Linked DNA regions of Cricetulus griseus. The protein of the gene in region 6 interacts with the protein of the main gene of each other region in a biochemical or structural test. Links are inferred from orthologs where the notes say so. Each region holds a gene or a part of one and is shown on either strand. Other genes may lie near its edges. The genes, in order: Septin5, Mfn2, Ube2g1, Ube2v1, Rnf41, Prkn and Pink1.

Evidence for each region.
Region 1: of the proteins of Prkn (region 6) and Septin5, one has a biochemical effect on the other in vitro, tested with the Homo sapiens proteins (2 studies listed by BioGRID). The link is inferred for Cricetulus griseus from reciprocal best matches to the Homo sapiens genes PRKN and SEPTIN5.
Region 2: of the proteins of Prkn (region 6) and Mfn2, one has a biochemical effect on the other in vitro, tested with the Homo sapiens proteins (2 studies listed by BioGRID). The link is inferred for Cricetulus griseus from reciprocal best matches to the Homo sapiens genes PRKN and MFN2.
Region 3: the proteins of Prkn (region 6) and Ube2g1 form a complex in vitro, tested with the Homo sapiens proteins (5 studies listed by BioGRID). The link is inferred for Cricetulus griseus from reciprocal best matches to the Homo sapiens genes PRKN and UBE2G1.
Region 4: the proteins of Prkn (region 6) and Ube2v1 form a complex in vitro, tested with the Homo sapiens proteins (4 studies listed by BioGRID). The link is inferred for Cricetulus griseus from reciprocal best matches to the Homo sapiens genes PRKN and UBE2V1.
Region 5: the proteins of Prkn (region 6) and Rnf41 form a complex in vitro, tested with the Homo sapiens proteins (2 studies listed by BioGRID, with this or other methods). The link is inferred for Cricetulus griseus from reciprocal best matches to the Homo sapiens genes PRKN and RNF41.
Region 7: of the proteins of Prkn (region 6) and Pink1, one has a biochemical effect on the other in vitro, tested with the Homo sapiens proteins (12 studies listed by BioGRID, with this or other methods). The link is inferred for Cricetulus griseus from reciprocal best matches to the Homo sapiens genes PRKN and PINK1.

Annotation. Positions count from the first base shown.
Region 1 is NC_048597.1:70,618,431-70,622,513, reverse strand, and holds the start of Septin5 (septin-5), read right to left. Parts: upstream 2,801-4,083; 5' UTR 2,701-2,800; coding exon 2,620-2,700; intron 1,984-2,619; coding exon 1,887-1,983; intron 1,800-1,886; coding exon 1,713-1,799; intron 1,464-1,712; coding exon 1,340-1,463; intron 1,262-1,339; coding exon 1,127-1,261; intron 1,042-1,126; coding exon 924-1,041; intron 832-923; coding exon 730-831; intron 59-729; coding exon 1-58. UniProt on the Homo sapiens protein: Filament-forming cytoskeletal GTPase. May play a role in cytokinesis. May play a role in platelet secretion.
Region 2 is NC_048595.1:8,557,832-8,562,053, reverse strand, and holds the start of Mfn2 (mitofusin-2), read right to left. Parts: upstream 2,801-4,222; 5' UTR 2,562-2,800; intron 2,493-2,561; exon of another isoform or gene 2,355-2,492; intron 2,217-2,354; 5' UTR 2,182-2,216; exon of another isoform or gene 2,150-2,181; intron 1,234-2,149; 5' UTR 1,094-1,233; intron 1-1,093. UniProt on the Homo sapiens protein: Mitochondrial outer membrane GTPase that mediates mitochondrial clustering and fusion. Mitochondria are highly dynamic organelles, and their morphology is determined by the equilibrium between mitochondrial fusion and fission events.
Region 3 is NC_048600.1:86,427,238-86,431,527, reverse strand, and holds the start of Ube2g1 (ubiquitin-conjugating enzyme E2 G1), read right to left. Parts: upstream 2,801-4,290; 5' UTR 2,737-2,800; coding exon 2,691-2,736; intron 1-2,690. UniProt on the Homo sapiens protein: Accepts ubiquitin from the E1 complex and catalyzes its covalent attachment to other proteins. In vitro catalyzes 'Lys-48'-, as well as 'Lys-63'-linked polyubiquitination. May be involved in degradation of muscle-specific proteins.
Region 4 is NC_048599.1:11,798,126-11,801,625, forward strand, and holds part of Ube2v1 (ubiquitin-conjugating enzyme E2 variant 1), read left to right. Parts: coding exon 1-115; intron 116-3,500. UniProt on the Homo sapiens protein: Has no ubiquitin ligase activity on its own. The UBE2V1-UBE2N heterodimer catalyzes the synthesis of non-canonical poly-ubiquitin chains that are linked through Lys-63.
Region 5 is NW_023276806.1:129,453,660-129,457,159, forward strand, and holds part of Rnf41 (E3 ubiquitin-protein ligase NRDP1), read right to left. Parts: intron 795-3,500; coding exon 523-794; intron 1-522. UniProt on the Homo sapiens protein: Acts as E3 ubiquitin-protein ligase and regulates the degradation of target proteins. Polyubiquitinates MYD88. Negatively regulates MYD88-dependent production of pro-inflammatory cytokines.
Region 6 is NC_048595.1:288,897,095-288,899,269, reverse strand, and holds the end of Prkn (E3 ubiquitin-protein ligase parkin), read left to right. Parts: intron 1-358; coding exon 359-471; 3' UTR 472-1,675; downstream 1,676-2,175. UniProt on the Homo sapiens protein: Functions within a multiprotein E3 ubiquitin ligase complex, catalyzing the covalent attachment of ubiquitin moieties onto substrate proteins. Substrates include SYT11 and VDAC1.
Region 7 is NC_048595.1:15,026,234-15,030,363, forward strand, and holds the start of Pink1 (serine/threonine-protein kinase PINK1, mitochondrial), read left to right. Parts: upstream 1-1,330; 5' UTR 1,331-1,378; coding exon 1,379-1,765; intron 1,766-4,130. UniProt on the Homo sapiens protein: Serine/threonine-protein kinase which acts as a sensor of mitochondrial damage and protects against mitochondrial dysfunction during cellular stress.

The DNA.
Region 1 (4,083 bases), on a different chromosome or scaffold from region 6:
GCTGCCCCTTTGCCTCCACCACGGTGTTGCTGCCGATAACAGCGAAGGGCGCACTTTCCTGGGGAAGGGGGAGCAGAGACCCGCCCAGTGCTGTAAGAGGCTGAGGGGGCATGGCCATTCCAGCACGGCCACCACCACCCTTCCAACTGGGATGGCCCCGCTTCTGGGTGCCTCTGTTACCCACTAAAGCCACAAACTCTGCATAGCTCAAAGCCTTGGGGCTCTGCCAGACTGTGCACTTCTCTGGCTACGAATGGTTCCCAGAATTTCCTCCATCTTTCAAGTCAAAGTCAAGACCAGGCTTACTGGTGGATGCCCCTGCCCATCTGCTCCTGGCCCAGGGGCTCCGAGTTCCTGGCTTATCTTTGTGTCATACCTTTTCTAGTCTCTAGGATATTCAAAGCCACCACCCTCTGCCCTCTAGAGCACAGAATCTCAGCAAGTAGGGCTTGACACAGCTCTGAGCCACTGTGCTGATTCTTGGAAAGCGGGCCAGAATGGTACCAATTAAGTGCTCTAGTAAGCCCAGGGGAGGTCCAAACAATTCACTGCAGACTAGACAGCGATACATGTGACCTTAACCTGTAGCCCTTGGGACAAGGGAACAAATGATTCTTGCCTTGATCATGCTGGACCTGGGTGCTTAGCCTTCCCCCAGGGCCTGGGTGGCCTCCAGTGCTTTGTCCCAGCAACCTCCTTTGCCCTCACCCCTCCTGGCTACTTGCTCACCTTCAGTTCCCGGTCCTGTTGCTTGAAGTCTTCATCTTCATCTGAATCACATTCTGGAAACTGGTACACATGGATCCCAAACTTGTCAATCTCTTCCCGTATCTGCAGTAGTAGGGCAAGAGTTGTTAAACTCAGCACGGACCAGCTCCCCTGTAGTTTTTGGCTAGGTGCCCCCTTAGCTGTCGAAGACTCACCCTATCCTTCAGCTTACGGATCTCACTGGGAACCAGGCAGTCAGCTTTGGCAATAAGTGGAACGATGTTCACCTTCTCATGCAGGGCCTTCATGAAACCCACATCCACTGGCCGCAATCTGCAGAGATAGGTTGGAGACTGGCGTTGTCGGAGGCAGTGATAGGAACACCCACCCTGAGCCAGGCACTGGGACGGCCACATACCCGTGTCCAAAGGGGGAGATAAAGTACAGGCAGCAGTGCACCCGGTTGTCTTGGATATTCTTCCGGTTGAGGCCACTTTCATCTCGGAAATACTGCTCAAACTGCTGGTCCACATAGTCGGTGATGGGCTTCCAACTGAAAGTGGAGGAAGAATGAAGCCAGCTCTGAGAGCAGCTAGGTAGTGGTGGTTGGGGCAGAGAAATTGTTCCTTACCACTCAGAGTTGTTCACAGCATCACCAAAGCCGGGTGTGTCCACAATGGTGAGCTTCAACTTGACTCCCTTCTCCTCAATGTCAACGGTGTGTTTCAGAATCTCGACTGTCTGGTTGATGCGTTCTGCAGAGGAAGGAAGGAGAGACAGTGTTTTCAGGCCATCTTCACCTTCACTTTTGGGGGGGGCAGCAGGGAGCCTTATTCTTACCCACCCTGGTGCCTTCGCCTAAGTCTCAGCCTGACTCTATGTTCTGGGCCACTCCTCATCCCCAAATAAGAACCCATGCCTCAAGCAGAGTGGAAGGGTGCTCTGTGAGGTTTCTCAGGGCAGGGATGAGCACATTAGTGAGGACTGTATGGTTGGCCACTCACCCTCAGCGCTCAGAAGCTTCCGGTCCTTGTATAAGTCAGTCAGAAAGAGGCTGTGGACAAGAGTCGACTTCCCCAGGCCCGACTCACCTGGCCACAGGGGACAGTGAAAGAGCTGGGTTAGATCTGAGCTGACCCATGGCCTCAGAGACTCCACCCAGAAGTTTGGTCACTCACCAGCCACCATGAGGGTGAAGTCGAAGCCCTTCTTCACTGACTTTCGGTGCACCTGATTGGGCAGTGTGGCAAAGCCAACGTACTGCTTGTCGATGTCCTGAGGGCAGGGGTAGGATTGGGGCAGGTCAGAGGTATATCCTAGATCTTTGGTGGCAACCCAAGACCCTGTCTCTTATATGGCTCAGATGAGCAGATAGCATAGCCCCAGCAAGGGGCACTTCCTCAGCAAAAATGGGGTGAGGGCTGTGGAGCAAAGGCTGGAAGGAGGGAGGGAGGTGAGGGGGTGGCAGGAAAAGCATCCCTGCCCCAGCCCCAGCAGAGACCCAAGACTGGGGTGGAGAAGAAGGAATGTCAGCCGCACAGGGGTGTCCCTCCAGGTGGATGGTGGGAATCAGTTCTGAGACCCCTCAGACACATTCAAGGACCTCCATAGGTGGAAGCAGCCAGACCTCAGCACAAACTCATCCCCAGAGTATCCGGGGTGGGTGGCTTGTTTGGCCCAGATCCAAGCTTGGGGGTGGTGGTTCTTGAAGCAGCATCCGAGCAGGGGCTATTTATAGACTGCAGTACCGAGCCTCCCCCGCCGCAGGGTCTGCGGTGCCTGCACCCATCCTTAGTGGACATCTGCCCTGGGAGCCCCTGTTACGTTCTCTGGTAGCTGGGTGGTCCTGGCCAAGCGCGTGCACACATGACCCACATTCCACCCTCTCTCCACACAGACACACACACACACCTTGAGCCGCCTCTGGGCCTGGGTGCGCGGCGACAGCAGCTGCTCCACCAGGCGGTCCTGGGGTGCTGCCAGTGAGTCCATCGCTGCGACCCTGCGGGCCCCGCCGACCCTACACCGGGGTCAGGCCAGTCGGGGCCAGCGATCTCGAGCGACTCGCGCTGGGTAAATTTGCTCTTAAGCCCTCTTCTGGCTCGGGTTTTGGAGACACAAGAACTGAGGCCGGGAGAGGGAGCGTCGCCTACCTGGTAGGCCGCTGACCTCAGAAGTCGTGCGAGCCATTCCCCTGTCTCAGCCGCGAGCTGTGGCCGCGAAGACGCTCAGCAGCGGCTCGCGCACTGGAGCCCGAGGCGGGGCTTCGCGGGCTCCCGGCAGCGGTGGCAGGGACCGCCCCGCCCGCCGTCGCCGGGAAACAGTCGCTTGGAAATTGGGCCGCAGGCGGAGCCTTGAGAAAACGGCTGCGGAGGGCAGGGCCCAGCAGAGGCGCGCGGGCGGGGGCGCCGCGTGGATCCGGAACGCAGCCGTGGCACCCGAGGCCGGGTCCAGACGGTCCGCAGGCGGCCGGCGAGGTGGCTGCGGTCGCCGACCTGCCTCCCGGACGCCGCGCGGCTGCCTCCCACCAGAGGGCGCTGCGGAACGCTCCGGACCCACGCGCACCCGCGCGGGAAGCGGCCCCAGCCAACACCTTGCTCTCCTCGTACTTCACCCGAAACCCCTCCAGCCTTGCCATGGCGACCAAACTACCCACAGACACACCCCTCCTCGCTCCTTGGGGCTCACTCTTTTCTAACACCCCCCCACGTGTATGTGTGCCTGTGATTAGGGGAATTCTTTACCCGCGTGGCATCTTCATATGCACCTTCCTTACTAAGTCTGGATCTGGCTCTCCCCTCTGCTTAGCCTAGTGGGGGGAGGGGCAGGAGGCTGGGCGAGTGTTGCTCCCTTTTAATCCCAGCACTCCTCCATCTCTGTGAGTTCGAGGCCCAGCCTGGTCTACAAAGTGAGTTCCAGGATAGCTAGGGCCACACAGAGAAACCCTGTCTCAAAAAACAAACAAAAGGGCGTGAGGGGATGCAGTGGTCAGAGTTCGGATGGTCCCCTTCCTTCCTAGCTTGGAAGCACTGGTCAGGCCGCAGCTAGGCATAACCTCTGCCCACAACATGCACCACGAGCCCCTGGAATTTCAGGGTGCTGATGAACTAACTGGGAAGCCAAATTCTATGACCCACCGACCTTTCCTCATGCCTCACTTTCAACCCCACTAGAATCAGAGCACACCAGTTCCCCCCCCCCGGGGGGGGGGGAAGGAGGTCAAGAAACTACACTAGTGCCAAAGGACCAGGAGACCTCCCTTCCTCATGCAGGTACCACCCTTTCCCAGGAAGGCTCTCCACAGTGGCTTCTTGGAGGGGCCTCCATCCTGGCTCTTGCTATGGGGCCCAAGGGTGGTTGGCACCTTGGGAGGAG
Region 2 (4,222 bases), about 280 Mb from region 6:
ATGGTGGCACACAGTGTACTCCTAGCACTTGGGAGGTGGAGGCAGGAGAATCACCAGTTCAAGGCTGGGATGGAGAGATGGCTCCACCACTGGTAAAAGTTCTTGTTGCCTAACACCCTAAATCCAATATCTGAACCCACATGGTAGAGGGAACAAATTCCCACAGGTTGTCCTCTGACCTCCACATGTGCACTGGGACGTACATGCACACTAAATAAATAAATCTGAGGAAAAGAGCACGAAAAAGGAGCTTAAGGTCATCCTCAGTTAAGCAGGGAGTTCAAGGCCAACCTGTTCATGTGGCCCTACCTTTCTCAAAAGAAAGCAGGGAGGGATGGGGTGAGTAGAAACTTCTAACAGGCTTTAAAACTCTAAGGCTCACACTTTAGGGAAAGACTCATTATCTGACAGACTTCTCCCACCCCCAGAAGTTGCAAAAGCCCAGTAATAGCATATTAATTTAAATCAGAAACAAACCCAACTCTGAATAAAAGCCAGGATTAGCACTTGAAGGCCATCAGAAGCTTTGCCTCAACCCAGGCTATTAGTGGGGAAGTATTAGGTGTTTGCACAGCAGCAGCAAAATTCAGTGCAAGGTGTTTGGATCCGAGGTGCAATTCTGAATCCACACCACCTCCTTACCCAGTTTTATGTACAGCAACTCCTAGCAGAGAAAATAAAATGGGTCCAGAGATCGTCTGCTGACAAAACTGGAGCAGAGGAGAAGCTGAGAAATTGAAACAAAAGAGTACACAGGGTAACGGACAGAGCCAACTCTTAGAGCCATGATAAGGAGCCAACCTCTGCCAAGCAGAGACAGAGAAGAGCCAACACAGAGAGGAACAAACAAGGGAAAGAGACTAATGCTTCAGGGACCCCAGGAGATAGATCCCAGCAATGTTCTCACCTGTCAACTAGTGAAGTGCCACAGAAGCAGAAAGGAGAAACAGCAGCTTCTTCCAACACAAGTTGGAAGCCATCAGCTCTGTGCTCCAGGATCCCATCCAAGAGACCTGCCACCCGAGAGCCAGCAGAACACGCTCTTTCACTCTCGAGCCAGGCCCTGGTGCCCCAAACCACAGCTTCCACTTACTTTTTAGCTGGTAAGAGACCTTCACAGGGTGGGCGTCCTGGACATGGCTGGAGTCAAAAAGATGAAATGAACTTGAGGTCTCCTCTGTGTTGATTCAGGTCCAGGTTGGCCACTGATGGTGTTGACTCCACCTGTCCCCACTTTTGGAAAGCAAAAGGGAGAGGTCAATAGGCAACCAGGAAGAAAAAATGCCACCTGATGTGCAAAGCATGTCTAATCAAGTATTAAAGCCAAACTAACTCATCCCTGAGGGAAGCTTACTCACTGAGGTACTTCAGGAGCAGGTGAGGAAGGGTGTGTGTGTGTGTGGGGGGGTGGAGACAAGGAACACAAAGCACAGGCATGCACAAACACACTGTTAGCCATGTGCTAGTGCAAGGCGCCAATGAGGTCCTCGAAAAGGCACATCCAGAGGAGAGAGGAGGGAGACAACCAGGACAAGGCCCGGCCTTGAGGACCTGGAAACTGTCAACTAGCAGTGGGAGGGGTGTGGAAAGGAAGAGAGCAGACCTGATCGAAAGCCTGTCTATCCCAGCTGCTACAAAGTAATCTGTTCCATTCACAAGTCTATAGAATCAACTTGCACTTAAGAGTAAGTGGGAACACCAGTGGTGATGGCCCATGCCTTTAACCCAAGCACTTGGGAGACAGATGGATCTCTGTGAGTTGAATGCCAGCCTGGTCTACAGAGTGAGCTCCAGGACAGACAAGGCTACAGAGAGAAACCCTGGGGGGGGGGGGGGAAGCAAGTGAGAAGATATATATAGTCAAGTGGCCAAGCTAGAGACCAAGATACACTAACTGTGCCTCCAGAGCTCACTTGTGTTTTCCAACATAAGACAAGAAGGGGAAAATCAAGAATCCTTTTCTGGAAGTAGGCAGAGATGACTGGGAAAGTAAACAAACAGGGTGAGAGAGGAGTATTACAAGCAGCTTTGCCTTTCTGCACCCAAACAGCTATCTTTTTCAGTATTTTCTGAGGCCTTCAATGTGCTAGGTGCTAGGTGCTAGGGTCAGGGACGGGTAAGAATAGCTCCAACCATCGAGGGTCTTAACCGTGCAATGAGAAGTCATACAAGTAAAAGGACCTCCACCATAAACGGAGTAGGCAGTGAACTGGGTCCTGAAAAAAAAAAAAAAAAAGAATGCTGGCAAAAAGAAAACAGAAAAGTATAGGATGAAAACTGGGAAAGGGTCAGGGGTCAGGAATGTGACCACAGGGCAGGGAAGACCGGGGTGCCGGGAGCTTCGAGGAGCCCACCTCCCAGTCCTGGGTCCTGCGGCCCGCCCCCTCTTCAGAGCCGAGGAGGGCTCGGCGGCGAGGCCGGGGCAGGGGAACGCCCGTGTGACCCGAGCCTGAGCCCGAGCCCCAGGGGCCCCAGCGTCCCGGCGTCCTAAGCTGGGCGGCTCAGGACTCTCCCGGCGGGGGCCTGCCGGTTCCACCACCCCGGCGCGCTCGCCCTCTCACCTTCACCTTCCCGGCCTCGCGGCGGCCATCACACCCACGACGTCACTAGCTGTCGCCACACCAAGAGAAGAGGGAGGGGAGGGGACTGCGCTCGTCACTCGCTCCACCGCAGCCCAGATGAGCCGATGGCCCAGAAGCTCAGTCACTTCATCCCCACCACTCTAGCGCGGCAGCGTCCAGAGGGTCCACGCTCCAAAAGGTGCCTCCGCGTGCCTGATAACCGTCCCGCGTCCTATGCAGATGACGTATTTTTGGGTGGGGGCTCCCAGTGCATCATGGGAATTGTAGTTCGGATCAGCGCGGCGCAGGGCGGGGTAGGGCGGAGCCTCGAGCTGTCAAGCGTGGGGGTGGGTGGAGCATAGGGACGACGACGATGACAGGGGTGTGGATTAAAGGTTTGCGTGTGTTTTCATTTGTTACTCCAGAACTTGACCCTGTAACACCTGCCAGTTTTGAAATCTAGACTTACATTTCATAATCTGAGGGAAGCCTCTTCACCGTTAGGGTGAAGTAATTGTCCTTCAGTTGCCTTTGAGGCAGTCAAAACAGCAGCCACAATGCAGGCACCTACTAGGTGCCGGTCACTGAGCTGAGTATCGAACATGCAATTTTTCAGTTTTCACAGTAGTTCCAGGACACTCAGGGCATGATTGCCCAACCTCAGGAACTAGAATACAGCAGACGATCCCAAGCTGGGAGGACTCCAAGCCTGAGTTCTGTAACATCGCCCACCAGCCACTCCTGGCTGCCGAGGCCCTGAAATGCAGCTACTGCAAACTGAGAGATTCCCCAGTGCTAAATATGAAAACATGCAAACTACCTCATTAATATTCTTATATTGATAACATGTTGTTAAGGCTTTGGATAAACTGAACGAAATGAAATACATTATCAATTTCATATAAAGTCATGTCTCTTTTTACTTCTAAAAGGATAGCTAATCGTGGAGTTCACAAAATGACTCTGTGGGTAAAGATGTCCACCAATAGGGTGGAAGGAAAAAACCCACTCCCGAAAAGTTGTTCTCTGACCTTCACACAAGCACCATGACCTGGTGTATCCACCCCCCATCCCACACACACAAGTAAATATGGCTGGGGCCTAGGGAGGTGGCTTTTACAGACAACCCGGAACCCCATGGCAGCTCACAACTATCTGTAACTACAATCCAGAGGATCCGACGTCTTCTGTCCTCCATGGGCACCAGGCTCATGTGTGGTGCACTCTTAAACATGTAGGCGGGAACTCACACACATTAACTAAAAATAGGAAACAATATTTAAAAGCATATAATATGGCTAGTTGAATATTTTAAATCACCCAAGTGGCCTGCCCTTGTAGTGAGTACTACATTGCTTGTTTGTTTGTTTTGGGGGCAGGGTTCCCACTAGGTGGCCCAATCCAGCCTTGAACAGAAGATCCTCCTGCCCACTTCCCTAGGGCTAAGACTGTAGTCACTCACCGCCACACCTAGCTCTCGTGTTGCTTTCCACTGATTGGCACTGCCCTATAGCCAGGGTACAGTCATGCCTCAGACAGCTTTAGAGGTTAAGTCAGCACTCCAGTTCTGAGTCTCCAGGGAGGTGAGTCAGGGAAAGCTGTAGTTACTGCCCACAGGGCAGCCTTCTGTCTGTAATGACAGACTCTGGACTGGACAGTCA
Region 3 (4,290 bases), on a different chromosome or scaffold from region 6:
GGCTGGAGAGATGGCTCAGAGGTTAATAGCACTGACTGTTCTTCCAGAGATCCTGAGTTCAATTCCCAGCAACCACGTGGTAGCTCACAATCACCTTAAATGAGATCTGGTGCCCTTTGCTAGCATGCAGGCAGAAAAATATACAAAATAAATAAAATCTTTTAAAAAAGAAAAAAACAGTCTTTACTGTTTTCAAGTGATACTGGAAAACTCATTTAAAAATTGCTACTAAGGTAAGCATCTTGGTGTCTTTATTTTTAGATGCTTATCAAGTCTTCCCAAATTAATATTTTCACATTTCAACTAACAAACCTTGTACCACACACTTTGAGCAAATTAATTAAAATCCCTTAAAAAATGACTTTATGCCTGGCGTTGGTGGCACATGCTTTTAATCCCAGCACTCGGGAGACAGAGGCAGACGGATCTCTGTGAGTTTGAGACCAGCCTGGTCTACAGAGCTAGTGCCAGGTTAGGCTCCAAAGCTACACAGAGAAAACCTGTCTCGAAAAACAAAACAAAACAAAAAAAAGACTACATTATTACATTGTCTCTGATCAAGAAAGCAAAGAATCTTTATAAGAAAGCCTGAAAAGTTAATCATTTTCTATTCTCTCACTGTGTATTTTAGAATACCGCATCAAAAAAAAAAAAAATTAACCATTGGTTAAAAACCTTTGAAGACTGTTTTGTCTATTATTTCTGTGAAGAATAAAAAAGAAGCACAAGTCAGGTATGGTGACAAGGACTCAAACCCCAGCATTTGGAAGACCAGGAGGCTGACAGATCTGTGAGTTCCAGGACAGCCAAAGGCTCCATAGAGAAACAACTTGAGAAAAAAAAAAAAAAAGATTGTGTTCACAAATAGGTATTAGTTTTGGCTTGGTTTGGTTTTTCAAGACTGAGTTTCTCTGTGTAGCCCTGGCTGTCCTGGAACCTTGCTCTGTGGACCTGTATGGCCTAGAACTCAAAGAGATCCACCAACTTCTGCTTCCTAAGTGCTGGAATTAAAGGCATGTGTCACCGCCACCAGACATGGTATGGTTTAACATAGTAGTACTGTTAAAATCTTTTGCACTTTTTAGGATGCATGTCACTTCCATTATGTAAGACTTCTGTTTTAGTATTTAGAACTTACTACTTAATGATTTGCTACATTAAAAAAAAAAACTTATTCAGATAAAGTTGGGATTTTGTTTAATGTTTTTTGTTTGTTTTTTGAGACAGGGTTTCTCTACATAGCCGTGACTGTCCTGGAATTCACTATTGTGGTATTTAAAAAACAATTCTTAAGGAGACATAATCTGAATTTCTTCTCCCAAAACAAAATTAAGGGAGGAAAAACCACAGTAAAAGAATGTTTTTAAGTAAGATGAAATAAGTTCCACTTCTTTAGAGCATAATATTTCTGATGGGTATACACTTTTCCATTCACTTCAAATCACTTTCCCATCTACAATTTTAATACTTGTCCAAACCTGCTAGCTCATGATCTAATAATAAACATAATTATACAATCTGTAACTGTCCTTGTGGATCTTTTCCTTAAGAAGCCATAAAGGTGATTTAACTGACACCTCACTCACAGAAATTTATTTCATTTATCTTCATTTCCAGCTTTCAGCGCTTCGCCGGAGGAGGGCGGGGATGGGAGGGCTGGCTACAGGTTGAGGAGGGGTAAGATCGCCTGAACCAAGCAAGGCACAAGCTTGGCGTTGGACAGCAGGGGTAACTACCGGTTCATTTCTCTTTAAATCTGGCAGCACGTGGGGCGGCATTGTGAAGCCACCAACCCGCCTCCTCCCTCCCCCCTCCTTCCACTCCGCACACGTACGCCTCCAGCGCGCATGCTCCGCTCACACAGTCCTAGCAGAGTAGGAGCCAACCCCCTAAAAAGTCAACCTGGAAGCCGCAAACGGCCGGAGGCCGGGACAATGGGGGAGGGGGGGACAGAGACTCCACGGGGGAGGCACTTAGCCGCCGCCCCTGGCCAGAACCTAAGGCGGGCCACAGCCCGGTGGCTGCGGGCCTGCGCCGGAGCCGGAGCCGCGCCGAGCACAAAGCCCCGGCCGGCCAGCGAGCGGCTCTCCTTAGCGCCCGCGCCCACCCTCCCCCAGACGGGCGGCGCAGCCCGAGCTCGTGCCAGGCGGAGGCAGGCGAAGCGGAGTCGCGCGCCCCGCCGAGTCCTCGGCGCCCCGCGCCCAGTACCCAGGCCAGCCCGGCCGTCGCTTTTGTTGTCCGCCCTAACTCCGCGGACCCCGTGCTGCCGAGCCAGAAGTTTGGCGCGCCTCCCCTATCCGGCCCCAGCCATCGCTCGGACTCTCAGTCGCGCGGGGCCCGCACGCTCCCGGGGTCCCTGAGGTCCCGGGGCCTCCGCCGCACCTGAGCCCGGGATCCGCCCCTCAGGGAGGGTCGGCCCGGCCGGGACCCACGCCCCTCCCCCGCAACGCCCCAGCTCTGTGGGGGAGGGGGCAGCCGCCTTGGGCGCCCGGCCCGTCCGAGGGCGAGGCTGGGGCGCGTCCCCGCCCCCAACACCCTCCACAGCCGGGCCAGAAGTGTCGCCGGCCGGCCGAGACCCGCGGGCTCCCACCCTCGCGGCCCGCGGCCCTCCACCACCCTGCCTCCGAGCGGGCGACAGGAGGCGAGTGGCTCGTCAGTCCGCGATCGCGGCCCGGCGCCCCGCCGCTCACCTGCCAGCTGTCTTCGCAGTAGCAGCGCAGACTGCAGCTCCGTCATCCTCCCCGCCGAGAGCCCAGGCTGCCGCCGGGGCTTCGAGGAACTGGGGACAAGCTCTGACGGCGGCTGGAGCTAGGTGTGTGGAGGAACCCGGGCCCCGCGACTGGAGCGCCGAAGCCGCGGGAGGCCGGTCTGGGGCACCCCGAGAAGCACCTCGCTGCCGATGCGAGTCCGCTCCGCTCCGCTTTCCTCTCAGCGCCTCACGCCCGGAAGGGGAGGGTACCCCGGCCGCCGCGGCGCGCACTGGGACTTCGCTCGCCCGCTTCCCTCCTCAGCCCGCCCGTCGGCCCCACCGGTGCCTTCCCCCGCCACTGCCTCACTGCGCGTAGGGCCGCTCCGCGCAAGCGCGCTGAGCCTGCCTACTTCAGAAGCCGCACGCCTGCTAGCCCGACCCCTCGGCCCTGCTGCCCCGCCTCCGGCGGCGGAACCCCGCCCACCGCGCGCTGTGGGCCCAGCACGGCCATCTTGGGAAGGTCCACGCCCGCCTGGCTGCGGAAGCCTCGGCTGGTAGACGCCCCGCGGACGCCATGACAAAGAGGTCGCGGAGGGTCAGGACGCTGCCTCCCGATGTAAGCTGGAGGTCTGAGAGTGATGGGACCAGAAGGGGTAGATAGCAAGTTGTTAGCGAGCACCCAGCAGCCATCTAACACTTAATACGAGGTGTGCGAATTAGTCATTGTTACAAAGCCGAATTTAGTACCTGTGTGCCCCATTTTAAGCATGATGAAAATTCATAAAGAATACACAGAATGATCCTTGAAATAAAATGTTCTGACTCTCACAGACTGTTTAAATAGTAAGACTGAGTAAAGTGCGCAGTTGTGATTAGCACCATCTGATACTCGGTTGTTTGGGTGGGTGGTTTACCCCTGTAGTCCCAACACTGAGGCTGAGGCAGGGGGATTGAGAGAGGACCCCCGCCTTTATTACATAGTGATACCCAGTCTCTGCCTGGGGATGGAATCCATAATAGATAAAACTGTCCAGAAAGGCACCTACAATGTAAAGTCCTAGTGTGAAACCTAAGGTTAGGCAAAATAAACCTTATCCAGCTATATAATACCCCCTCCATTTCAAAGTTTTGTGCTGTCAACACCATAGCAATAAAGAGATGAGAAAGGGGAAGGAAAAATAACAATGACAGTTTTGTTTGTTCTTTCAGTAAGTGTTTATTCAATCCTTAGTTCCGTGTACCTGGACTATAGAAAACAAAAACTGCATAGGAAATTCCTACCCACAAAGGCCTGAAGCTTCGTAAAGTGAACAAGAGAAGCAGATTTCAACAGGTTTGTTACAAAAATTAATGCACTAGCAGGCACAAGACCCTAGGTTACCTCCCTAGCACCGTCCTATCAGACCAAAGGATAAAATAAGCATTGAGTGAATACCACCAACAAATTAGGAACTAAGCCAATTTGGTAATTTCGGGGTTTTGCTTGATTTGGTTTGGTTTTTTGAGACAAGATTTCTGTGTAGCCCTGAATGCCCTGTAACTACTCTGCAGACAGGCTCTCCTCAAACCCAGAAAACCATTTCCCTCTACAAGGCGTGCAC
Region 4 (3,500 bases), on a different chromosome or scaffold from region 6:
AGAGCTGGAAGAAGGCCAGAAAGGAGTAGGCGACGGCACAGTTAGCTGGGGTCTAGAGGACGACGAGGACATGACACTTACGAGATGGACAGGGATGATAATTGGGCCTCCAAGAGTAAGCACCACACTATGCTGTGACTCTCATTGTCTTAAGTTCACTGTGCCTCCTTTTAAAGCAATGGTAGCCTTGTTGGTAAACGTTCACCAACGGTGTTTTCTGAAATGTGGTTGTTCTTTCTCTGGCCAGTTTTCCTTTTCTACGTTTGAGACCCTCTGGTGAGGTCAAACCCTGTTGGGTAAGTGAATCCTGTGTAGTCAGTAGTGTGAATTTACATGACAGTGTAGACAGGGGCCTTTGAGCTTGCCGATCCCCAGGCCGAAGTTCAGGATGGTCTCTGAGCACCTGGACTGCCAGCAACCCCCTGGAGCAGCACCACAACTGCTCTACCTGGCTAGGCCTACTGCTTGTCACTGAGCACAGTTCTCTTTCCACCTGTCGGCTCTGCTGGCTCCACTCTGGTTTGTGAGGCCCTGGCCAGTTGTGTTTGAAGGTACATGGTTAGCCCCCTAGAAGTGTATTTAGTGCTCACAAAGTTGTTGTCAGGTCCTCCTACATCACCACATTCCAGGTCACAGGTGGGGAAGCTGTCCCAGGAGTGAAGTCACCTGCCCAGTCACAGAGCTGAGCACTCCCAGCCTGGGTCTGTTTGCCAAGCCTGTGTCCTCCTGCCCACTAGGCCACGCTGACAGGCTTCCACTTGAGGCTGAGTTTACAGTGGTCAGCACTGGGGTGGTCGATGTTTACTACTTGGTGCAGGAGAGGATCTGGGAAGACCCTCAAATGGGACAGTCCTGCAGATGAGCCCTGGGAGGTGTGGCCTGAATGTGGCTAGGCCTGTCTAGTTTGTTTGTGCCTCGGGGAGACAGCTTCCTTCCTTTTCAGCTTGAGCAAGGTGCTGCCTGTGCACTTTGGAGATAGGAGGACTCCAGCTGTGGACAGCGGGAACTGACACCTGCCTCAGGCTCATTAGCATTCAGATACTTGAGTTCAACTTAGAGGGTCGTTGACACTATTGGGGAACGACCAACCTTGCACTTTACTGTTGCTCCCTAAGTCATTTTTGCAATTCTGATGCCAGGTGTGGATAGTTAACGTGTGCAATGTGGTTGTGCCCATTTCCCTTGTCCCTGTGACAGCAGCTTACTGACTTGTAGAGTACTGGGGATGCACGTGTAGATGGCTCTGCAGACGTTTTTACTAAGAGGGTCCAGCCTCCAGAGTCCTTCTCCCCAGAGCACCTGCTGCAGATGGTTCAGGGGCCACTTCACTGGCTTCCAGGCTCAGGAGGCTGAGGCGGCATGTGAAGCCCGGAGCCACCACTGCCCTGGATGAGGAGGGCTCAACAGTTCAACAGGCATTTGCCATGGCTACAGTTGCCGGAATCCTAGCGTGTGGTGGTGGAGGCAGAAGGCTCAGACGGTTGTGGAGATTTTTAGCAACCGGGGAATTTCGGGTCAGTGTGTGTCCTTGACGCCATCTCAGAAGATGGCTCAGAGGTTAAGAGCACTCATTACTCTTGCAGAGGACTCAGGTTCCATTCCCAGGACCCATGTGATGGCTCACAAACATCCATGACTGCAGCTCCAGGACACATACATGTGAACTAAACAAAGGACAGATGGACAAAAATCCAAAGCAGCCCATAAATGATACCAAAAATAGGGGCTGGAGAGATGGCTCAGAGGTTAAGAGTACCGACTGCTCTTCCAGAGGTCCTGAGTTCAATTCCCAGCAACCACATGGTGGCTCACCACCATCCGTTATGAGATCTGGTGCCCTCTTCTGGTGTGCAGATTTACATGGAAGCAGAATGTTTTATACATAATAAATAAATAAATAAATAAATAAATAAATAAATAAAATCTTTGAAAAAAATGATGCCAAAAATACTCTGCTCTGCCTGAATGCAGGCTGGGTGTGGTACAGAACACACCTGCAAACTAGGTGAGGCACCAGTGCTGCGAGTTCATGGCAACTTGGGCTCCATACCAAGATCCTGTCTCTGACACACAAAAAGAAAACTGCTTGGGTTGTCCTGAACTTGAGTTTACCCTTTGCTAAAGGGTGTAAAGCTGAAGCTGCTAGAGCGCTGGGTACTTTCTGTGTGCTAATTAATGTACATACTTGTAGTGCAGCCCAGGTGTTACAGATCCACCTTAGGACCTCACAAAGGCTTGCTAGGCAAACCATGAATCATGCCACTGAGCCACACCCCAAACGTGCCTGCACAGCTTATTTACAACGGGGTCTTGAGCCAGGGTGGTGGCTCAGACGTATAATCCCAGCTCTTGGGAGGTTGGGGCAGGAGGCTCACTATTGGTTGTAAGACAAACAGAATCTTGCTTTGCAGACCAAAGCTACCCTTAAACTTGGCATTTTCCTGTCCCAGCCTCCCAAATGCTGGGACCTAGAGCTTTGCACAAGGCAAGCAGGTGCTCTACCACTGAGCTATATCTATTGGGCTTTCTTATTTTAATTATGTGTGTTTGGTTTACATGTGTGCATGCATCTGCAGATATCCAAGGAAGCTAGAGGTATTGGATTCCCCCTGGAGCTGGACTTAACAGGAGGCTGTGATCTGCTGCCAGGGGTGCTGGGAACCAAGCGGGTCCTCTTCAAGAACAGTATGGGCTCTTTAACAGATAAGCCCTTGATCCTTGATTTGGAGATACATTTTGATAATGTAGTACAGGCTGGCCTCAGACTCAAGATTCTACTACTTGTGTTTCTGATGTACTGAGATTACATTTATGTCACCATGCTTGGCTTAGAGTGTGTTTGTAACATATATAATCTGCAAGTTTTTATTATTGACTTTTCTCAGTACTCTGACACAGTACCTGACAAGGAGACTGCTGGTCACACGGCATCCTTAGGCAGGGAGAGAACACTGGGAGTGGGCACTCAGCAAGCGTCCTCCCTCGTGTGCTCTGGGGCCCAGGCTGCGATGATCCTGCAACATCCAGGGTAGTTCAGTGGGTAGAGCACTTACTGCTAAGCCTGGCGGGCGGGCGGGCAGACATGCATACACGCGCGCACACACATACACACTAATGAACAGCATCCAGTTAACAAGACCACCACAGTATCTGTTACTTAAAATTGTGTTACTTTCATCATTGTGAAGAACTGTTGGTGTTGACTTCTTCCCCTCCCACCCTGAGTTGCAGATAGAGCTCTGTGGTGCTACTGACTCTGAGGCCTCAGTTTGTAGCAGAGCCCTATAGCACCCACAGTACTTTGTGCCCTTGCACTGCCAGGAGGACCCATTCTGGGTGTGCCTATTTAGTTTACCCACTCATTGTTTGTAGCAGTGGGACCAATACTGATGGCGTGTGGTGGAAGTTTTTCTGTGGACTGCTGTTTTCAATTCTTTGGGGTATGTACCTAGGACTGGCATTGCCAGATTAGGTGGCAGCTGTTCCTCATCTGTGGAACT
Region 5 (3,500 bases), on a different chromosome or scaffold from region 6:
CTACCAACTGGAAGTCACACAGCCCCACTCCCACCCCCCATTGCTGTCTTCTCCAGCTTTTAAGAGCCAGCCTGATTCTTAGGATGCTGTTCTAAATTAAGAGGGGAATTGCTGTGTCCTGTCAGGCTACTCTGTTGGATTCTACCTGCACTCATACATATTACTTCTGAGGAGTCCTGGATCACTGTCCCAGGTACCTACCAGCGCTTAATCAAGTATTTCCCACCTCACACAGACAGAAAATAGGGCACAAGGGAACATGAGAGGCTAGAAACTGGAGCAGGCAGCCTGACAGAGAGAGTATATTGGACTGGAGAGAAAGGAAAAGTGCCTCCATCTTAAGTGTTATCAGAGGTCACTGGGTTACTGTCCTCTTTCTGTTAACAATGCAAGACCAAAATGACCCTAGTTGGAAAGTGAGATCTGAGGGCCAGCAGGGAGTCAAGAAGCTCAGAAGTGTCCCTGGCCTACAGGCATGGGAATGGGAAGAGCCCTTATCTGAATGGAGGGAAGGACTCTCACCCACAGCCCTGGTCACAGGTCACAGGCCGCTTCGGGTTGTGCTCACAGTCACTGAGGTGGGACATGAGGTTGTCAAGCCGGACAACAGCACTGCAGCCAAACACAGCGTTGTCACAGGCAATCTGTAGCTTTGACAACATGTTCCGCATGATCCGAGGTACTGGGCGTAGGTGGGCAACCGTGACAACACTACGGTCTACCGGGCACGTCTGCTGCTGAGAGAACCACTGGGTGATGCAGGCGTTGCAGAAGGCATGCTCACAGTGAGGTGCCTAGGAGGGACACAAGGGAGTTAACAGGAGCTGAGAGCCTGGATCTACTGACGAGCCAGTCAAACCTCTGAGCAGGTCCTAGGACCAGAGCTCCAGGTGTCATGGTAAATTGCAGATCTATTTGGGGCAGGGCATTTTCGGGTCAGGCGTAAAACTCAGTTCCTGTGCTCAAGAGTTCAAATGAGTTGTGAGACAAGATAAACAAGCAAAGGTTATGTAACAGTAAGAGACATAAATAACATTCCAGGACAATGGGACGATGACAAGGCAGCCAGTTACTAATTGCTGACACAAGTGCAAACGCAATAACTGCTAATGACATCTAGAGGCAGGCATGCTCTTTCCACAGCACTTCCTTATGGAGAGGTCTTCAAGAATGATTCAGATGCAGTTTAGAGGGGCAAAGCCTCACTAACCACAGCAGGAATAATGGAGTACAAGACCTGCCAGTCCTCTACACTCCCCCACCCCACCCCCACATCCCATCACCCAGAAGACAGAGACAGGCGGAACTCTGTGAGTTCGAGGCCAACCTGGTCTACAGAATGAGTTCCAGGACAGGCTCCAAAGCTACAGAAAGACCCTGTCTCCCCCCCCCCAAAAAAAAAAAAAAACAGAAAAAGAAAACAAACAAACAAACAAAAAACCCAAGGGGGCTGGAGACATGGCTTAGAGGTTAAGAGCACTGAATGCTCTTCCAGAGGTCCTGAGTTCGATTCCCAGCAACCACATGGTGGCTCATGACCATCTATAGTGCCATCTTCTCATGTGCAGGCATACACGGAGGCAGAATGTTATATACATAATAAATAAAATCTTTAAAAAAAAAAAACTCAACAAATAAATAGAAAAGAGAGACAGAGTACAAGAGCGCCTCGTGGCAATACATGGACTGACGCAGAGGTCTCGTACATGCCTGCCCTATATGGGAAGACCTTATTACCCCAGAAAACAAATGGGGCTGGTGAGATGACTCAGTTGCTACCAAGCCTGAGTTAGATCCTTAGGATCCACATGGTTCCATGGACTGCCCGTACACACACACTCACACACACACACACACACACACTGAATAAATAAGTAAATGTAAGTAAAAAAATCCGGGTGTGGTGGTGCACACCTCTACTCCCATCTCTTGGGAAGCAGGCAGATCTCTTTAAGTTCCATGCCAGCCCAGTCTATACAGTGAGACCTTGTCTCAACAAACTGTCACTCTCAACCCCTAAACAAACAAACAGGGGCTGGAGAGATGATTCAGCAGTTAACAGCCCTGGCTGCTCTTCCAGAGGACCCAAGTTCAGTTCCCAGCACCCACATGGCAGCAGCTCACAATAAACTCTAACTTCCATTTCAGGGGATGACATCATCCCTTGAAACTTTTGACACCATCAGGAACCTAAATACATGTGAAATTCCCTCCCCCTCCAAATAAAAAATATTTTTTCTTTCTTATTCTCTCAGATAAAAAATATTTTTAAAGAATGAAAAGAAAACAAAAGACCCAACAACAAAGCAAGTAGCTAAAGTGGGGAAAAGTCTGAGAGCTAAGCGGGTTCTCTGTGTAGACTCCAGTTCTTCTCTCTCAGGCTTGTCCTACCCTTTCCCTGAGGTGTTGCCGCTGATTCACAACTGCTACACTTAGGCTGCTAAACAGGACTAGTGCATTTGAGGGACAGCGCTGTTCTCAGTTTTAAGTTCATGGTTGGGGTGGGGGTGGGTGTGTGTGTGTGGGGCACACTCAGCTCCCGGCACTCAGAAGTGTAAACTAAGTTCCAGGCTACTTACTGCGATTACACAACCATACCCTGATTCAAAAACCAAAGCAAGCCAGAAGGGTTAAAAATGCTATTGCGCCGGGCGTTGGTGGTGCAAGCCTTTAATCCCAGCACTCGGGAGGCAGAGGCAGGCGGATCTCTGTGAGTTCGAGGCCAGCCTGTTCTCCAGAGCGAGTGCCAAACTCGCTCCAAATGACACAGAGAAACCCTGTCTAGAAAAACAAAACAAAAAACAAAACAAAACAAAACAAAAAAACCCCAAAGCAACCCCATATATAAAGATGTACTTATTCCTTTGAGAAGGTTCCCTGGTCCCTGTGAAGACACTTTTTGGCAGCCAGCAATGGGCAACAGTGTACCTTTGATTTATTGTGTGTGCCTACATTTGGGGTGTGTTAGTGCAAGCGCATATGAACCATGGAGCTCCATCCACCGTGGGTTCCACAGAGTGAACTCAGGTCATCAGGCTCGTGTGGAATGTGCTTCAACCCATCTCACAGGCTCAGGTTTGATTTCTCAGAGACTGAGACACAGGACTGGGGAGATGGCTCAGCAGGTGAGATTGTCTTTTGGCCTCCACGTGTGCCATGGCACACCCGTGCCTATTGACATACACAAAATAATAAATGATAAAGTGTTAACTAAGAGGATATAAAATACACTAATAAAAAAGCTATTTATGAACAAATAAAATTAAAATGAAAAACTAAATCCTCAACATTATGTATGGTACTTCTCAAAACTTTTGCCCTTATGTTTTTTGAAACAAAGTCACATGTAGGTTACCCTGTCCTTGAAGTAGCTGTGTCAGAAGGGCTGGGTTCAGAGGCCACCACACTTTGTCAGAAGGGCTGGGTTCAGAGGCCACCGCACTTTCTATGTCAGAGGGGCTGGGTTCAGAGGCCAACACACTTTCTGTGTCAGAAGGGCT
Region 6 (2,175 bases):
ATTTGAAAATCATGAGTTTAATATGGCTCTATTTTTTTTTTTTAATGAAGAATCAGCAGGCTGTGAAACACACCATTTATGTCTGAGCACATGAGGGAAAGATGAGAAACTCAGACTGTGAATGGGATTTGTTCTGAAGGCAAAGAGCCCTTTGTCCATGTCATTATCTTATCTTTTCTCACTTGGGGGAGGGGGATGTTGCCTCCTGTTGTTTCTGATTATTCCCCCTGGCTCAGAGTCTCTCTGCCCTCCTTGCTGGGGATTTTTGGCTACAAGAGTCATTTCTGGGATGGCATGGGGGCAAGGGCTCCCCGTGTTTGCCACAAGCCCACAGCACCTGTATCCTTTGTACCCACAGGAGGATGTATGCACATGAAGTGTCCACAGCCTCAGTGCAGACTGGAGTGGTGCTGGAACTGCGGCTGTGAGTGGAACCGAGCCTGCATGGGTGATCACTGGTTCGACGTGTAGACAGACACTCAGGCACTGCCCCTGACCACACCTCCTTACGGGAAACACGTGGACTCCTGCCTTCTTAGCCATTTCGTCGTCTCTGGGCATATAAGCACATACAATGCACACGCACAAACACAGACTGCAAATTACAGACTCGGCCACTAGATCCTTTCCACAGGCACCCACGGAAGCCAGCAGCACCCACTAGGCACCCAGTGAGAGGCACTTTCGGGCCTCTGGCATATGCAACTATCCAACACTGGGAAGAGAGTGTAGCCCCTTGTTTTGGATTTCTCATCCCAGCAGGAATCCAGCCCTAGGGAGGGCTTTTCCAGGTTTAATTTCCCGACTTCACCTTCACTAAATCCATGTAGAAGCCTTAGGCGAAGCCACAGCTCTCCAAGGCTGTTGCCACGCTCTGTGTAAATTAGACTGCCGTGGAATCTCAAGAGCACACTCGAGATGTGAGGGACAGTGTTCTTACTCAGCAATCACCTATTCCCAGGGGGCCCTCCCCGGCAATAGTCAAAAATATTTGTTTATCCCCAAGAATCCTATCTTTATAAATGGTGCTGATGAGATGACAGCTCGGCGGCATACAAATCAACTTATCAACCAAGTGAGAAACTGGAAAACATAATTTGAATGCAGACTGTTTAAATTACAGTGAGGGCATCAAAGTGGAACCTACTTCCACTCGCTTAATTACCTGCAACTTTAGAAAGAAATTACTCTTTTTTTCCTGAAATTATTGCAAAGTCTGGAATTTGGTTTGAAGTATTCATATTGCAGCCTGGAAGTTTAGCCCATGCATTTGTCTTCACTGTGAACTTAATAGAAAAAGTGCCTATAAAGGGCATGTTTTTAGAAACAATCCCATGATGCTATTCCAACGCTAACAGCAGTGCAGGCCGGGTTTATATTTATGGAATATTTATAGAAGCGGCATTTCTAGATCAGCCACATGAGAACATGCCTGACCCTCCATCAGAAAGGGAGACACCTCTGTGTACTTACCCCCTAAGTCCCAGGGAGTCCCATGCACCCAGTGGTCCTACAGGCAGAACCTTTTGCGAAGGACAATAAACACACTAGAATATTCCTTAGGTAAATACACATCACATTTGAATGTTAAGTTTTCAAGATTTTATTTTTTCCTGTTGTGTTTCGTTTGGTTTGGTTTGTGAGGCACTCATAACACATAAAGCTGTTTCCACTAGGTACTGTGAGATGCAGTTTCTACTGCACCCTGTGCACAGGGGTGAGGCGTGGTCTCTGCCTTTCCCTCTCATTTGATTTTCTGACTTCTCAGGAGGCTGAGCTGGCAGCTGAGGGTCTCACTGGCCCCTGAGGCCCCTTGGGACTTAAGAGGCCTGAACCTTCTGAAATCAATAAGTAGATACAACCAACAGAATCCGATGCTGGTGGGAGAAGAGGCAGTGACCTCAGAATTTTCAGGTCATATCCCAAGAGCACCTGCTCCCCCACCCCAAGCAGCCTCACCCAGAACACTCCCCAGGAGCAGGCTTCCCTCCCCTTCCTCAGAGACACAGTACTGGAACAAGGCAGTAGTGTGAGAGGGGGCCACACAACATGACTTATCACCAACTGCTAGAAAATCCATCCTCTCCTTCATAATCCAGGGCTGCCAGACCCAAGTCCAGAAGCCAAAGATCAGATGGAAACGATGCTATGGTATCTTGTAGTGTGAGGCGAGGA
Region 7 (4,130 bases), about 270 Mb from region 6:
AACAAATCCTGCTGGGGATGGAGCTGCGTGGGTGGAGAGCCAGCAAATGAAACCTTGGGCTCCATCCCCAGCACTGCACCCTGCAGCTGGGTAAGATCCTCTAATCCCAGCACTGGGGAGGTGGCCACCACAAAATCTTTATTGAAATAGTGTACTCAGGGTCTGGGGCTCAGTGGTAGAGCATGTTTCAGAAGGGGACTGTGGGGAAGATAGAAAATTGCACTACACATATCTGAGTGTACAGTGAGCTTTCATCTCATAGGCACAGGTCATGAAAGAGGTCACCAGCATCCAAAAGACTCTTCATGTCCCTCTAGTAACTGCCCACCCAAGGAGCCTCAGTGGCCTGACCCCTAACACTATAGATCAGTCTCACTGCCTTTGAACATTATGTAAACTGAATAACAACATTTGTCCTCTTATTCTTTTTTTTTTTTTTCCAAGACAGGGCTGCTCTGTGTAACAGCCCTGGCTGTCCTGGAACTTGCTCTGTAGACCAGGCTGGCTCTGCCTCCCAAGTACTGGGATTACAGGTGTGTGCCACCACTGCCCAGCCAATAGCATACATCTTAAATACACACACTTTGTATCTACCATTCAAATACAGATACCTTTGCAATTGCCTGATTTCTATAGGTAAACTTCACACACACACACACACACACACACACACACGTAAAGTTTGCTTTGCAAACATAAGAACCAGAGTTAGACTTGGGAGGCAGAGGCAGATGGATCTTAATGGATAAGCCATCTCTCCAGCCTCGGGGGATTTTGTTTGTTTGTTTGTTCTTTTTAAATCTGGAAAGCTGAGTGTGGTGGCACATGCCTTTAATTCCAGCACTCAGTAGGCATAAATTGTGACCTTTGGGCCAGATCTCCCTCCTAGTCCTAAGAAGCCATGGAACCTGCGACCTGTACAGGAACATGAGTGCACTTGGGGGTGAGGAAGAAGAGACAAAGCCCTCAACAGCTAGGGCAGCTTGAACTTCAACCTGAGCTCTAATACTTCCATGCAATCTGGGAAACACAGCACTCTCTAATCTACAAATTTGGCACGCTTATATCATTATTGGGTAAGTTTAAAAGTGTAAAGGGCCTGGACCGGTGGTTGATAACAGATGCTAGTTTACCGGATCAATTTCTTACGTTAACCAGGACCAGTGAAGTTTTTGCAACCTCTGTACCAGGGTTCAAAGTGCAAACCAGCCAGACTAGGAGAGACGCAGATGAGCACACAGCGCCCTCGTGCACCGAGCAGGAGAACTGCCGCGGCCCCGCCCCCCGCGCTTGCGCATAGGCTCCGCCCCGAAGTTTGTTGTCCTCGGTCTCTGGGACGTTTGTGGCGGTGGCAGCGGGATCCGGTCGCCGCGCCACCATGGCGGTGCGACAGGCGCTGGGCCGAGGCCTGCAACTGGGTCGGGCACTGCTGCTGCGCTTCGCGGCCAAGCCCGGCCCGATCTCGGGCTTGGGAAGGCCCGGCCCCGCGGCAGCCTGGGGCCGCGGAGAGCGCCCGGGCCGGGCGGCGGGCCCCAGAGCACAGCCGGGCCCGCTCGGGCTCCCCCTTCCCGATCGCTACCGCTTCTTCCGCCAGTCGGTGGCTGGGCTGGCGGCGCGGATCCAGCGACAATTCGTGGTGCGGGCCCGGGGCGGGGCGGGCCCTTGCGGCCGAGCAGCCTTCCTGGCCTTCGGGCTGGGGCTGGGGCTGATCGAGGAGAAGCAGGCGGAGGGCCGGCGGGCCGCCTCGGCCTGTCAGGAGATCCAGGTGAGCACAGCGGAGGGCGGGGAGCCGGGGGAGCGGCCAGCAGCCTGCCCAGAGCTCCGCCTTTAGGCCAGACGGGGCGGGGAGAGGGCGGGGCCTGCGCCAGGAGGAGGCGGGGTTAGGAAAGTGGTCGCGAGTGGGGCCGGGCCGGGGGCGGGACCTGATCCCTAGGGGCGGAGCTACAACTAAAGTGGCGCTAGGATCAGGCAAGGCTAGGATCTGGGCCTGGAATCCGGCCAGGACCTGAGGCCAGAGGGAGAGGCTACAGCTAGAACTACAGCTGGAAGCAGGGGCGTGGAGGTTCCTCGAGTCCGGAGGAAATAGGGAACGCTGGTTTAGGGTGGAGGCATGGCCGGGAGCAGGTCTAGAAAGCGGTTCTTGAACCATTAAGTTTGTTCCGCATCAGGGGCGGAACTAGCTGGACCGTTGTGGAGTCAGGCTCTGAGCCTTAGTGTAGGGTTAGGTCTGAGGATGAAGACTGAGATAGGGCGTGAGCATTGGGAAGAGCAGGGCAATTCAAGGTGTGGGGTACTCGCCGACTGTACTAAGTGGTGGGTGGCATCTTTTAGTTATGTGTCTAGAAGCATGTCATGAGGGCATACCTAGACCTGGTAGTGGGGGTGAGTCGAGGGATAAGGCAAAGATTAAGGTCTATTTTTTGGGGGGGGTTGGTTTTTTTGTTTTTTGAGACAGGGTTTCTCTGTGTAGCTTTGGAACCCATCCTGAATTCACAGAGATCTGCCTGCCTCTGCCTGGGATTAAAGGCGTGTGCCACCAACGCCCGGCCTGATTAAGGTCTATCTTTGACTGAACTGTAAAATGGAAATCATCAATTAAGTCTGACTTACTTCCAGTTACTGATGGCCTGATATGCCAGCACTTTGCATTTCTTTTACAAACAGTATTTTTTTAACAAGAGGTATTGCCAATTGTCCTGTTGCATTGTGGCAAGTGACTTTGAGTAATTTTTTTTTCTTCTTTTGGGGCGTGAGGAGGGGGATGGCCCTGACTTGTAAATGTAGCCCAGGGTGGCCTCAACTTCTGGCCTTCCTATCTCCATTTTCCAAGTGCTGGGATTATTGGCATGTGCCACTATGCTTTGAATACACTTTCTAAAATGACAATACTCCCATCCCTTGATGTAGTTGCCATCCTGATTTATGGAGGGCACATATTCAAAAAAGGTGAGATGACTTACTCAAAGTCACACTGCTGGTAAAGGCAGTGCCCAAAGCCCAAAGCCCGCCCTCTCAAAGCCTGTGCCCTCTGCTAGAGAATTCATCACATCTACTGTTTTAGTTAGCCACAGTGGGGTTATCACTGGATACGTGGGAGTTCTTCGGCCTTTTAAACTCTTAAAAGAGCACATTGACCTCTCTTTCTACTCACAAAATCTTCTAGTCAAGGTCACCCAGACAAAACCAATAGGATGCGTATATTTAGAGATTGGGACTTATTCTGAGCACTTGGCTCATGCTGGGCTGGCAGGCCCAGAGAAGAGCTGGCTGTGCAGTTCAAGTCTTTAGGTTGTCAGCTGCCAGAACTCAGCCTTCTGGGAGGCCAGCCTTTTTCCTGGGGTTTAAAACCACTTGCTGAGTGAGTGTAGCCCCTGCATTTTACAGAGTCGGGCTGAGGGGTCAAAGACATGGATCAAAGAAAGACCTAGCAAGCATTTCCTCTACTTCCTGTTCCTAATACTGGGACCCCATTCCTGTGTCTTACATAACTACATAGTGAGACCCTGGCCCAAGCAAGCAAACAAACAAATAGAAAAAGATATGAATACAGGTGACAGACAGGTAAGAGTATGTGACGATTTTCAACACCTCTGGCCATTTGATAAGTGCACATTAAAATGAGAGAGGTATCCGTGCACACTTACTATAATGATTAAGATAAAAACAAGGACAATAGCAGATGCCGGTGAAGGTGGGGAAATGGGATCTCATGCCGTCACAAATGCAAGTGATACAAAATTAAATTTGTATTTACCACACCAGCCTGTCATTGCAGTCATCAGCATCTACTTCGGGAAACAGAAGCATTCATCCAAAAACCTGAGTGCTGCAGTAACTATGGAAAACAGTAGCCCTAACCCTCAAAAGAGCTCAAAACAGAATCACTGTCTAGTATCCATGGATACTTGACTAGTGGACAGAATGCATAGACTTTTATGCATGTAAGCTCTAGGCAGCTTATTTACAGTAGCCAAGGGGTAGTAGAAGTGACCCTGTGTCCATCAGTGGTGTATATTATTCCACCTTTGAAAAGGAAGGGCATTCTGTAACCTGCTGCAAATGGATAAACCTTGAAGACAGTTGGTGCTACCACTGTATAGGTATTGCCATTGGGAAAGCTGGGGAAAGGG